Linked DNA regions of Saccharomyces cerevisiae S288C. The gene in region 1 interacts genetically with each later gene. Each region holds a gene or a part of one and is shown on either strand. Other genes may lie near its edges.

What was found. A genetic interaction does not mean that the proteins touch.
Region 2: mutations in YSR3 (region 1) and GMC2 together harm fitness more than expected from each alone (negative genetic interaction), as found in Saccharomyces cerevisiae (2 studies listed by BioGRID).

What each region holds. Positions count from the first base shown.
Region 1 is NC_001143.9:525,870-537,007, forward strand, and holds YSR3 (sphinganine kinase YSR3), read right to left. Parts: upstream 9,413-11,138; coding exon 8,198-9,412; downstream 1-8,197. Other genes in the region: histone chaperone NAP1, read right to left, coding at 1-771; FMP46 (putative redox protein), read right to left, coding at 961-1,362; TRK2 (Trk2p), read left to right, coding at 1,946-4,615; HFL1 (Hfl1p), read left to right, coding at 5,077-6,333; MRS4 (Fe(2+) transporter), read right to left, coding at 6,681-7,595; DYN1 (dynein heavy chain), read right to left, coding at 9,778-11,138. UniProt on the Saccharomyces cerevisiae protein: Dihydrosphingosine 1-phosphate phosphatase required for efficient ceramide synthesis from exogenous sphingoid bases. Involved in endocytosis and calcium-mediated signaling.
Region 2 is NC_001144.5:1,022,189-1,025,337, reverse strand, and holds GMC2 (Gmc2p), read right to left. Parts: upstream 1,150-3,149; coding exon 766-1,149; intron 684-765; coding exon 501-683; downstream 1-500. Other genes in the region: NGK1 (hexokinase), read right to left, coding at 1-124; ECM7 (Ecm7p), read right to left, coding at 1,367-2,713; chromatin-silencing protein SIR3, read left to right, coding at 3,087-3,149. UniProt on the Saccharomyces cerevisiae protein: Probable transcriptional activator involved in meiotic prophase and synaptonemal complex (SC) assembly.

The DNA of each region.
Region 1 (11,138 bases):
CTCCTTCTGGTAGAAGTAGGTCTTGCACAGAATGTCGTTGGTGAAGAATGGGTTGGCGGAAGAATCAAATCTGAACAACAGCTTGAAACCGGGTCTACCATCCGTCAAGTATTCCAGACCAATATCTTGCAGGTACTCCAGAACTTCCGCATCGCGGTCAGTGATCGTGTCGCAAACGATGGGCAAGTTCTCTAATGCGGTTAGCCAGAATGAGGGAATTCCCTTCACCTGTTCCTCCTCGGAATCATTTTGGGCCTTCTCTTCTTCGTCCACCAACAACTCCGTCTCATTGAGTGACTCCACAATCTCTTGGCCCTTTGCGATCTGTTCCGGCTTGGGTTGCTCTTGTCCTGAAATGATCCTGGACCGCTGCTCCCAAATGGGCTTGTACTTCTGCAGAAACTTGTTCTCTAGCTCAAACATCTCCACCTGAAATTCCTTTTCAACTTCGAATAGCTCGCTTTGTAAAGTCTTCAAGCTCAGCAGCTTTTCCTTAACGTTCTTGGGAAGACCCCCCACATACCCGCTGTCCTGGCCCACCAGCGAGCCAAGTCTGTCCTGGATGGACTGTAACAACAGGGGTTGGTTAGCCAAGATGTCCTCCTCGTTGATGGTGCCGATCTTGTCATCCTGCTCCTGTGCCTGGGCCCTAACTGGGTTGCCGTTTTTCAAATAGCTCGGATTCAGAACCGATGCTGGGGTATTGTGAGGCGTAGGGGCGTTGTCGATTTGCATCGACGACTTGGGTTTCGTTCTGATAGGGTCTGACATGATCTTGCGCTTTGCTCTTGGTCCCACTGGGCTCACTAAATCCTCCTAATCTACCATCAAACTGCCATTTTTGATCCCAAACGCTGCTATTTAAAAGGAAAAATTTTCCCAATTACGCGGGTAATACAAAAAAGATATAGCCCATTGTTATAAAAATATGTATGTGTTCAATATAGTGGTATATAGGTGTTATTTGCGCTGAATGATGTACTTGTCAATGTCTGCGGGCTCATTTCCCACCAACTTGTTTTCCCAGTCGACCCAAAGCGCCTCCTTTGGATTCCAAAGTCCCCTCTGGACACACTTCTGCAGGTCCATCCCGAACGTCGGGTCTGTGTGCTTGTATTTGAGCACTGAATCCAGCTTTGGAATCTGCCTTTGCAACGAAACTGGGCCTTGCGGGCACGAAGTTCTCATGTATTGCAGCTGGTCCCACGTGGGAAAGCGGTTGGCGATTTCCACGTCGAATCGATGAGAGACGTCTCCCTTCAGCAACTGCAGGCATTTCTGCGACTTGATATTGGACGCGATGTCATTGGTAAACAACGAGATGGTACGTGGCTGTCTCTGCAATGTTTTCCAAAACGACATTTATTGCGTTTGCGTTTGCGATCTCCCGGTCTGTTATTTTCATTTGCACTTTTCTTAACGTTCTCTTTTGGTTTTATATGCCCCTTTCCAAGCTGGGTGGATACCCCGTCCATTGAGTGCCCGTGCCCAATCAAGCTAAAGCCAGACTAAAAAGAGGAAGAGTTCAAGAACCATCAATGCCTCCAGCACAATTTCACAACAGCTTGACACTTTGGCAACGGTTATATCAGAGCATAGCGACGGGATTAGAGAGATGCAAGACGACGGAAGAAAGAAGGGAGTGCCCGGCATGCGCTGAAAGCGCCCTGTAGTACAAGCGTACCGCCGTTGAATAGGCCATGGTACATCACACGATGATTGATAATTTGATGCAAGCTGCCATGCTCAGATGGTTGTTTCCCGTTTCTCTCTTTCACTTTTGATCTCCTGCGAAGAATAGGATGAGATGTGAATTTTCGTTTCTAATCCCCTCGGCCGTGCGGCTGAAAAAGAGAAATGATATTGGAATAACTAGGTTTCAGATGATGAGAAAAGAGGCTATTTTGTACTATTCACCGACGATAAGAGGCTGTAAGAACCACTCATGCCAACAGCTAAGAGGACGTCATCCAGGGCTTCGTTGGCACTGCCCTTCCAGTTACGGTTGGTGCACAAGAAATCATGGGGCCATCGGCTAAGAGACTTCATTTCCGGGTTCTTAAAATCATGCAGACCCATTGCTAAATACGTTTTCCCCAACTTCATCGTGGTGCACTATATCTACCTGATCACGCTGTCGATTATCGGGTCCATTCTGTTATATCCGTGCAAGAACACGGCGTTCATCGATGTGCTATTTCTGGCTGCTGGAGCGTCTACACAGGGCGGGCTGGCCACCAAGAGCACTAACGATTTCAACCTGTACCAGCAGATAGTGGTGTACGTCATTACATTGCTGTCCACGCCTATACTTATTCATGGGTTTTTGGCCTTTGTCAGGCTGTATTGGTTTGAAAGGTACTTCGACAACATTAGGGATATCTCCAAACAGAATTTTAAACTAAGAAGGACCATGACGTTGCAACAAAGGGAACTATCGGGCAGCAGTGGCAATGCCGCTCGAAGTAGGAGTTTCAAGGACAACCTGTTCCGTGGGAAGTTTGTTTCCAGAGAAGACCCACGACAATCCGCTTCAGATGTGCCGATGGACTCTCCTGACACGTCCGCATTGTCCTCAATCTCACCGTTGAATGTTTCCTCCTCTAAGGAGGAATCCAGTGACACGCAAAGCTCGCCTCCAAACTTCTCAAGTAAGCGCCAACCCTCAGACGTTGACCCAAGAGACATTTACAAATCGATAATGATGCTACAAAAACAACAAGAGAAGAGCAACGCAAACTCCACGGATTCTTTTTCGAGCGAGACCAATGGACCCGCTTTCATTGTGCAGGAACGTCATGAGAGAAGAGCCCCCCACTGCTCACTGAAACGCCATTCTGTCCTGCCATCTTCTCAGGAATTGAACAAGCTAGCCCAGACGAAAAGTTTCCAGAAATTGCTTGGCTTGCGGAGAGATGAAGGTGACCATGACTACTTTGACGGTGCTCCTCACAAATATATGGTCACCAAGAAGAAAAAAATATCTAGAACGCAATCATGTAACATCCCAACGTATACTGCTTCACCGAGTCCTAAAACCTCAGGCCAAGTAGTTGAAAATCATAGAAACTTGGCCAAGTCGGCGCCTTCATCTTTTGTTGATGAGGAGATGAGCTTTTCACCGCAAGAGTCTTTGAATTTACAGTTCCAAGCGCACCCGCCCAAACCAAAACGACGTGAAGGTGATATAGGCCACCCCTTCACCAGAACAATGAGCACCAACTATCTATCGTGGCAGCCAACCTTTGGCAGAAACTCCGTCTTCATTGGACTCACAAAGCAACAAAAGGAGGAACTCGGCGGTGTCGAATATCGTGCTTTGAGATTGCTGTGCTGCATTCTCATGGTATACTACATCGGATTCAACATTTTGGCGTTTGTGACCATCGTTCCATGGGCCTGTACGAGGCACCACTACTCAGAGATTATTAGACGAAATGGAGTTTCTCCAACCTGGTGGGGGTTTTTCACTGCAATGAGTGCATTCAGCAACTTGGGTCTGTCTTTGACCGCTGATTCAATGGTTTCCTTTGATACTGCGCCGTATCCGCTGATTTTCATGATGTTCTTCATCATCATAGGCAATACAGGCTTCCCAATTATGTTACGATTTATCATTTGGATCATGTTCAAGACCTCGAGAGACCTATCTCAGTTTAAGGAAAGTCTTGGGTTTCTCTTGGATCATCCGCGCAGGTGTTTTACGTTGCTGTTCCCCAGCGGCCCCACATGGTGGCTGTTTACAACTTTAGTCGTCTTAAACGCTACGGATTGGATTCTTTTCATAATTCTGGATTTCAACTCCGCTGTAGTAAGGCAGGTTGCTAAAGGTTATCGAGCTCTCATGGGCCTCTTCCAGTCTGTATGCACAAGAACTGCTGGATTCAACGTTGTTGACTTAAGTAAATTACACCCGTCCATTCAGGTGTCTTATATGCTAATGATGTACGTTTCGGTCCTGCCGCTGGCGATTTCCATTAGAAGAACGAATGTTTATGAGGAGCAATCGTTGGGACTATACGATAGTGGACAAGATGACGAAAATATCACCCACGAAGACGATATAAAGGAAACAGACCATGATGGCGAATCCGAAGAGCGAGACACTGTATCTACAAAGTCCAAGCCGAAGAAACAGTCCCCAAAATCGTTTGTTGGTGCTCATTTGAGGAGGCAACTCTCTTTTGATTTATGGTACCTATTCCTTGGATTATTTATAATATGCATATGCGAGGGCAGAAAAATCGAAGACGTTAATAAACCTGATTTCAATGTCTTTGCTATATTGTTTGAAGTTGTTAGCGCTTATGGTACAGTGGGTTTGTCATTGGGTTACCCAAACACCAACACATCACTATCTGCCCAGTTCACCGTATTATCGAAGCTAGTCATAATTGCCATGCTAATAAGAGGAAGAAATAGAGGTTTACCATACACTTTGGATCGTGCCATCATGCTGCCAAGTGACAAACTGGAACAAATTGATCGTTTACAAGATATGAAAGCTAAGGGTAAGTTGTTAGCCAAAGTTGGTGAGGATCCAATGACTACTTACGTCAAAAAGAGATCCCACAAACTGAAAAAAATAGCAACAAAGTTTTGGGGGAAGCATTAAAATCAAGTTTACCCCTCTTTACCTACATAAGAGCCAACGTAATTTTCTCTCAGTATTATATGTATTATCTCCGAAGTTTATTATTCTTTAACGAAATATAAAAGAAAAATAAGAAAGATTAAGACCCTAAAAGGTGTACCACTACGATTCAACAAGCACAACGAATCCTATCCGTAATATACTTTTGATTTCTGACTATTCTAGAAAAATTTTAGTTCATTTTTTTTCCCTCTTTTTACTTATTGTATTTTTCACAATTGAATTGCATTTTGTCCCCTACGAAAAAAGGCAGAAAACGAGATCTAAACCACTTTCAGATCAGAATAATAATAATAATAATAACCAACCAAAGCCATCAACAGGTCCACTAGAAGCATCTGCCAAGTTACGACCTAAGCAAAGGTTTGAGTGAAAAGTGAATTGCGACAGTACAATCACAAAAGTATAGAAACATAATTGTTATGGAAAACAAACTACTTTGTTGGTGGTTGTACTGGCCATGCGTGTATTCATCTATTATAGCTACCATAATATCTTTTTACACCATAACTAGACACTTATTAAATTACCGTAAACCATATGAACAAAGACTATCCATACGGATACTATTGCTCGTGCCCATTTTTAGTGTGTCATGCGCAAGTGGCATAATTAAGCCTGAAGCAGCTCAATTTTATGTCGATCCTATCAGAGAATTTTATGAAGCATTCGTTATTTACACTTTTTTCACATTTTTAACACTACTACTAGGAGGCGAGAGGAACATCATTACTGTTTTAAGCTTAAATCACGCCCCCACAAGACATCCGATACCGCTAATAGGTAAAATTTGCAAACCGATAGACTTATCTGATCCTTTTGATTTTCTTTTTGTCAAAAAAGGCATATTACAGTATGTTTGGTTCAAACCATTTTATTGTTTTGGTACATTGATATGCAGTGCATGGAAGCTACCCAAATTCGAAATATTTTTGAACGTTTTTTATAATATTTCAGTGACTTGGTCACTGTATAGTTTAGCACTATTTTGGAAGTGTCTCTATCCGGAATTAACTCCTTATAAACCATGGTTGAAATTTTTATGTGTCAAATTGATTATTTTTGCCTCTTATTGGCAGAGCATCATAATCCAGGGTCTAGTGGTTACTGGAAAGTTGGGTACGGGAAACCAAGATCGAACCTCTGGATATGTGTACAAGAATGGGCTCCTGTGTATAGAGATGGTGCCTTTCGCCATCTTGCATGCAGTAGCTTTCCCTTGGAACAAATACACAGCATTTAGCATACCTTATGGGGCCAGGATGAAATTCATTTACGCTTTGAAAGATTTTCTTGGTTGCGGTGATCTAATATGGGATTTTAAACAGACTTTGTTTGCTGGTCCCTTGTACTATAATTATAGGAACTTCGATCCTGAAGCCATGGATCTATTAAGCACTAGACAACAATCCGGTGCGACTATGGAAAGACTAAAGCATGGGCTAAGATTTACTGATAATGGAAGAAATAGTTATTGGGTGGCATATGGGAGTATAGATAACAACCTTGTTCCGGAATCAATAGAGGAATCATGGGAAGATGATATTGCTGGTCAGAGAACTTTTCCTGAGGATCCAAATTATCCGGTTGTTCACGACTACACGATGGGCCATCGATATAGTAGATCAATGAATGATTTAAGAAGAGATGTTCAAAGTAGGTCATCAATGGCTTGTTAAATGAGTCGTTAAATGTACGTATATACATAGTTACTGCGCTTTCGGTTATATACAAAATAAAACAACATCTACAAGCAATGCTTTTTTTTCAATTATTGTAACTTGGATGCTTATTCTAATAAAATGAAATAAATGCTACTGTAATTTTTTGCCGGAGGATTGGCTATATATGCAGAGTGGGAGTTGGACGATATCACCATTATTATTATTTTTCTATTATTACCATTGGACTTGTCTTTTGCAGCAACAAAAGTGGCAGCAGCAGCAACAGCACCACCACCAATGCATTTTGGCCTTGCCTTTTATAAGTTGTCAAAAAAAGTTGACCTCGAAAAGGGGAAAAAACATCAATTTTTCATTAAAAAATGCTTAGCACATTCATATGCAGTCCAAGAAATGGCAGTGGCTGGTATATTAGCCACTATCCTTGGTTTCAAACCTCGCCAAAACCCCTTCCAACCATGAACCTCCAGTATGGCTCTTGAGGCTCTACCAAAAGTGTTCGCATCCTTCATTATTTCGATGGAGACAGTTTCGCTGCCTCTAACCTGTAATACAGTCTTTATGCAATCCAACGGTGTAGTTAACGCAGCACATGTTGCACCACTTATCCCACCGCAAAGACAATGAATCAATGGATTGTAGGAATTTTGTGGGTTGAAGAATTTGCTGGCAGATTCATATATCATGAAATTGAACGCTGCAAATGGGATATTCATGGCCAATGTTGTGGGATAGGAGTAGTAAAATGCTGCAAAGCCTTCATTTTGATATATTTGCTTAGTAACATTCCAAACTCTTAGATTAGTATCCAATTGTAGTCTTTGTTTAACGGTGTCAAAGGGGTTCATCAATGCATCCGCAGCAATGGTAGCAATGGTACCACTCAGTGCGGTCTTCATTGGTTGATGAGTTTGCATATCTTCAGGGCTTATCAGGCGAGCTTTGCAAAACTCGTATGTACCAAAATATACTGCATGCGCAGGCCCTGCCCCCAGTATTACCGATTGAACACCCTTCCATAAAGCCATCGAACCTTCCATTGTAGATATTTTGGATATCTGAGATATCATCCCTGTAGAGGCAGCTTTATTCAATCCTGCAGCCTGCACTCGGGTTTTCAGAGCATCTATTGGAAACATCAAAGAATGCTCCATTATACCTGCAAATGCTCCTGCCAGTAACTGGGAATGTAGCGGAGCATGTGATGGAAGAGCTTCGTAGTCGATTTCCTCAGCTATTGACAGTTCTGAAGTATTCATAATATTAACTGATATTTCGGTTGAGTTTTTTACTTCTTCACTTTGTACTTCTCACGAAAGTCTTCGTCAATAAACCTCTGATAAAGTGAAAATTCTATGAGATTCCAATAAAACCTCCAAATATCTTTATATACAGCTTACTACTTAGATAAGATGACGTTCGCCAATGGTAGGCAAAAGATAGCAGGGTGTTCTTGCCTTTCAGTCTTCGCCATGCTCTCATTCAAGAAAGGGTGCCAAAATACCGAAAAGAGACACGATCGGGGGTGTCAAAGTAGCGATTCCTGTGGGTTAAAAGAGGGTGAACCACGGCAAACATGCATGTGTAAAACCCAAAACGCCGATCTAGGGCCTGCGACGCATGGTACGAACATCCTGAAGGTATATAAAAGAGCTAAAGTCTTGACTCATGCCTGAAATCTTGATTTTTCATTGTTATATCCTCTCTATACATTAGTAAGCACCATAGATGGGCTGGCTATCAAAAGCGAGAAAAAAAAAATGCTGAATTCCAAATATGTACTCATCGGGGTGAATTTCAATGATGTGTTATGTAGATACAATATATATGTATAAGTCACTAAATGCATACATACGAGAGTCTACCTTAAGTTTGTCCAAGTGAAAAAAACTGGGCATAGCAAAAAGACGGTTGTAGGTATACCTGCGTATATGAGAAACCTTCCGACGATTTCCACTTTGGAAACACCGCTGTACAATAAACACTCTTCTTCTTCACTTGTCTCGTTATGGAAATGAACCTTTTCGCTTCTATCATCGTGAAATCTGAGTAGTTTAATTAACAGCGTGTAGACAGCTGTCTTGCTAATGACGTCTTTCCAAACAATCACAGAAGCGACACCTACCAGAGGCCTCAAGAACACCTTAGAACCACATGATGCGTACCTACTACATACAAGGTTCCATCCGTATCTTTCGGTTAACCAGTCGCTGCAATCCAGCCCACTGACTACGCCAATGAACGCTACGCTATCTTCGAAACAAGGACATTCATCAATGGGCCTGACGTGGTTAAACAGAATAAACAAGCCCCATGCTACACTCAAAAGGGGAAACCAGAGATGTTCACCAATCTGGAAATTTCGTAAAGCATGCACCACCCAGATTCTTATAAAAAAACAGATAGCTCCAACTGCGGCGCCGCTAAATAAATCCAGCATACCATGCATACCGCAGTAAACTCTACCAAAAACCAGGGTTAAGTAGTAAAATATCACCAGACTCAGTAAAAGAAGCTTTGTTGGCCATACCAGTGTGTCAGATAAACATATTCTCCAAAAGAATAATAGACTTACCGCAGTAGCGTTAGCAGAATGTGAACTGGGTGCACCATATTCTTTCGTAGTGTATTCACTTAGTGTGATTCTGTCAACTGGCGGTGATTTTGGCCTTGGTAGGCACCAATAATCCTTTAAGTAGCCACTCAAATAAATTGAATAACCAAGAACGTAGATCATGTCCCGTGTTAAATCGCGGTATCCAAGCCACACAGGCATGGGAAGCACGATAACATAAAACATGTGGGAACCCATAAGCGAAGTGTATTTGAAATAAACGTCTCTAAAAGGCGTTCTGTGCTTTTTTTGTAAAGAATGTACGAAATCTGATTGGTTGTCTGTGAATCTAGTTAGATACTGCCTTGTTTGAAACCTTAGCCACGACATCTGGCTCTCAAAATGCTCCGCTGGATGATTACCGGGATCTGCCAATAGGTGTTTGCCGCCGGAAGGAGCCATCTGAACCTTAATGGTGTCCTCGGTAACACCCAATTCAGTAACCGTCTGAATAATGGTCATAATTAAATTCTTTTACAGGCTTGCTATTTTGTATATTTTTTTGAAGACTACCACTGCCTAACTTCTTTTTGTCATGTTATCAATTCAACTAGATGTTGAGAAGGAAGCCAAGGCAAGGCTGATAAAAACTAAGAAAATAAGGAAAAATCATTATGTTATATAACATGAATTCTAGACGTACGTGCTCGTAGTTAGGAAGTATCTAAATAAGAGTCCCCACGTTACTTTAATTAGAAGCACGCCATCTTCCTACAACCGATTTTTTTGGATTGTAGATATCAGAGTCTCATCAAACAAGAGGAACCCAGAATAGGCACGTCCACTGAGAAAACCGCGGACAAGCAAGACACGCGTACCTGAAAAGGCTACATTTCTTGAAGAAGTTGTTCAGTTGAGCTAGCCACCTCTTTAGCCTGAAGACGTTCGTAATTCAAAATAGATTCCCTTGGCAATTGAAGCCATGAACTGAGTGAATCTGCAGGCTCAATCGTATTAGACAGTATGGCAGTAAGCCTTGCCCGTTCCTCTTCTTCACTTTGTTGAAGAAGAGGCTGTGGGATTCGTACCCCAGGAACGATCTGCAAATTGTCCGAGCCGCAGAATACGTGCGCACAAAGTTTAGCGACCACTTCAAGGTCTTTCTCTTCATCGATCTTTCCTCCGTATACGATCGTAGCTATGTGATCTCGCACTTGTGCCCAAGGAATGTTGTTGGTAGAATTGGTGGCTAATACATTCTCTAAATACACTGAGGCAAATTGAAAGTCGCAATCATTAAAGTAATACTTCTTGGAAAACCCATGAGGAACCAATCGGGTCCTGGCAGTGATCAAGGCATGAAACCATGACAATAGGAAGGTACAATACACGCTCCATACTCCTGAAATTTTACCAGTGAAAAATTGAGAACCCCATAGATCTTTGACGGTATCTAGTATACCTGGGATATCCTCATACACAAATCTATCAGTTCTTTGTAGCAATGGGGCAGGTAGTTTATCACCAGTCAAATGGCATGTCATGAACATTTTGAATTTCTCATGTTCTTCTGCCGCCTTTGTCTCCTCAACATGCTTGTGCAGATACGTTTTCACCCATGATAGCGACATTTGTATGTTTTGTAATAATATCCAACCACCTTCTATCTTAGATTTTGATATTTCCTCTTGAGCATAGTTTAGATTTTCTATAGACCCTAGCGGGATGATTTTTAACGATTCCTTCGAGGCTTTCGCCAATTCGATTAATTTGAATGTGCCATCAACATCTCGCTCGCTTGCCATTGTAAAATAGTTGTTCTCGGAATTGGCTACCACATCCGCGATATTCCACTCATCAACAAAAAACTCATTTTTGAACCAGTTCAACGCAGATATATACGATTTGGTTGTAACATAGTCCCATAAGTACCGCAAATCATTATTTGTATCTACGGTTAGTTTTGGTACGCCATCGCTACTTTCAGAGAGAACTCCAATCATAGTTAGAACTGCCTCTTTATATTGTTCACTTTCAATGTCGAATTTATACAAACAAAACATCGTCATAGCCATAATCATTTTAAATTTTTTGTCAAGAGCGGTGGAGAATTGACAATATACTTCTTGATATAATAGCCAAAGAATTTCATCTACCCGTGTCCTAGCTGCTCTTGTTTCCCTAGATTTCTTAATGAAGACACGTTTGAAACATGATAGAAATTGTCCTATAGAAATGCCGTAAAACC
Region 2 (3,149 bases), on another chromosome or scaffold:
AAATCGTATTTGTCTGAAGCCGTGATAACAACTCCTCTTGGAATTGGTCAACTACATTCACTATGGAATCAGCGGGTAAAATCAAGCTTTCTAATTCCCGAGCTAGAGTGCTTTCAATTGTCATGTTCTGAACCTCCTTTTGTTAACTTTTTCTTTACTTGCTTATATGTGAAAGTTCGAGGGGTGGACGTTTATTTTTCTTTCTGGCTTACATTCTTGTGTTTATAATGATAACCGATATACTCAGTTAACTTCCCCGGTGTTCAGTATCCCTGAATAAAATTTTTTGCTATCTGGCGCTAACAATACCTGGCAAAAAAAAAAAAAACATATAAACAAAAAAAAAAAAAAAAAAAATTAACCCAACGAAGGGAACATGACTTCTTTTAGAGAGCCGAGTGATAAGGCCAGTTGTCGTAAAAGTAAATAAATAAAATCAAAAAAAGCAAATGTGAGAAATAGCTAACATTAGCAATATCGCAGATATATTTGAGTATGGCTCATCTATCATCTGTTAGTCTTTGAATAGTTTCCTTAATTTCATTTGCGGATCTTTCCATTTCAATATTTTTGTACTCTAAATGGCGCTCTTTCTTCTTCATCCACGTTTCAGCATTGAGAATGGAGTCACCACATCTTTCCACGTCTATTTGAAAAGCGGATTCACACCAAAGACGTTGTTGCTGTTATTAAATTTGCATTATTAGTAAAAGAACGTAGTAAAATTGAGATGGCACAGGATGCCTAGTTTCGACCTATACTTACTTTTGCTAGCCTTTCCATTTTTTCATATATTTCGTCCATGTCTTTTGTATATTGCTCAATAATGTTTACAGGAACAGTACAAAACAAATCCCAATCCATCTTTTCCTGTTGTTGTTTGGACATCATCCCATCTTGACTGGAGAGGTCTTTGTACGATTCCCGGATCAAATGAGTGATTTCATTAATTTTCTTGAGTACATCATTTTCCAGGATATGGTTTTGGAAGGTTTCCTGTGGATTGTTGATTTGCCATTCGGCGGCTAATTTGAAAAGACTTGGTATATTGTTGGTCACGTCCGGACTTTTTAATGAGTTGGTTCTTTCCAAGTTATTATCCTGGTCGTTCTCAGATGATTGCCTAGGGACTTCCGTAGTATCACTCATGGTTATAGTTCCGCTTTTCTCTTCTTCGTTGCTTAATGATGTTTAGTTCTGAAATAACGATTTTTTAAGCGCTTGGCAATTTCACAAGAAAAAGGTGAAAAAAGAAAAATAAGATTAAACGATGAATGCGATTTTTTGTTTCTGTTATTATTATTATATAATTAAAAACTAGACAAATATAGTATGCATATGCATTTTGAATGATGGGTGAAAGAATTCAAAACTGTAATGCTGACGAAGGCTTGATAACCCTTTGCATACTTTCTTCACTGTCGTTGCTTGACCGGAATCTTATGTCCTGCAATTCGAATTCCTCTCTAGTAGCAAATGGTTCGTGTTTGCCGCCATTGCTTATATTTGCGGTGGGATTTCCATGGTCTAAACTGGTGTTAGCATCATTTTCACTATTTAAGTCAACATCAGATGTTTTTCTTATTGTTGCCATAGTATCACTGTTTCTCATCAGTTCAGCCTCGCCCGAAGTAGACTGTCGTTGCGGATAACGTTGACTGTAAGAAGTTTCATCGTCTAGATCTGCATCAGTAAATACACCGGCTTGGTAGCCTAAGAATTTATCATCGATTCCACCTCCATAGGACGTGCCATTATCGGAAATACACCATTCTAAGCCAGACCAAGCTAAGCATGACACAGAAATCAAACCTGCAAAACACCACAGAAGCGCAAACCATGTAACTCCAAGATGGTAAGAAAACCCGAAGGCCTCTAATTCTGTATTAATTCTAGACTGAATAGTGTAGTTAACCCAGGCAAGGCTTATGCTACTTATCAGGCCCCCAATGAAAACAACTAGCGATAGTAGAGAGTTGATATGAACAAGTGCCCTTTCTTTGAGGGCGTTCATAAACCTTCCCTTTATGTAGTAGTACCATATCATGAAAAATAACATACACACCTGGAAACTAATAACTGCATAGAGTAAATGTAACACGTTGGCCTTTTTATGTTTTAAACTCCTCATGTAGGTCGTGTATGCAGAACTTTCTGCCTGTTGTGAACCGATTTTGTTGTATGCATAATCTAAAATGATATCTAAACCCAAGCTTTCTAAAACCTCACGATAATCAAAAAGATAGTCCGTTCCTATGCTACTGCAGGTACTCTTAGTAGTCGAATTCTTTACGCTATGCATATTTCCTTCAGAGTCGAATACTTCCACCATGGTATATGTTGAATCGCACCTCCCATAAAGCGACACTGTGATGTACTGAGGAACATTCTTTATCTGACTTTCGGTGTAAGCAGTCAATATATACAGTTCGGATGTTGTTAAGCCTACACCGTTATTTTCTTCTGTAGATGTCGACTGCTCCATAGACTCTCTCAACACGGTAAATAAACCCGTCGTAATATCAGCAGAGTAAGTATCCAGTCGTGACATGTACAATGTTCTTGGCGAAGAAAGGGGTCCGACAGTCAACGCCAACCCGAAAGAGATTATGAGTAATGTCGTCCCTAATCTTAGCCACTGTACCACTTTCTCAAGGGCTGTAAGGTTCTGGAATGGCCTGGCTATTGTATCTCGTATTCTTGACATCACCATTTATTTTCGATCCATTAGATATGCAAGGGTATTCGCAATGACTGATACACAAAGAAATGGTGTAAATGAAACTAAGTAGAGAGTTGACAGTGTTAAGCAAACAACGAATCCAGGGGAACAAAGTATTCGGGACGTTTGTTTATGCGGCGTCCAAAAGATGTATTTAAAGTTAACCATATTATGTATCAATCTAAATAAAGAAATAATTGTAAATTTTCATCGCATCAGTAATATGACCGCGAAAACGCTATTCTTTCCAAAAAAGTTAAAATGAACATAGTATGAAAAAGAAAAACACATAAGCAGCCCTTTCATCACCTTCCTTACAGGGGTTTAAGAAAGTTGTTTTGTTCTAACAATTGGATTAGCTAAAATGGCTAAAACATTGAAAGATTTGGACGGTTGGCAAGTTATCATTACAGATGATCAGGGGAGG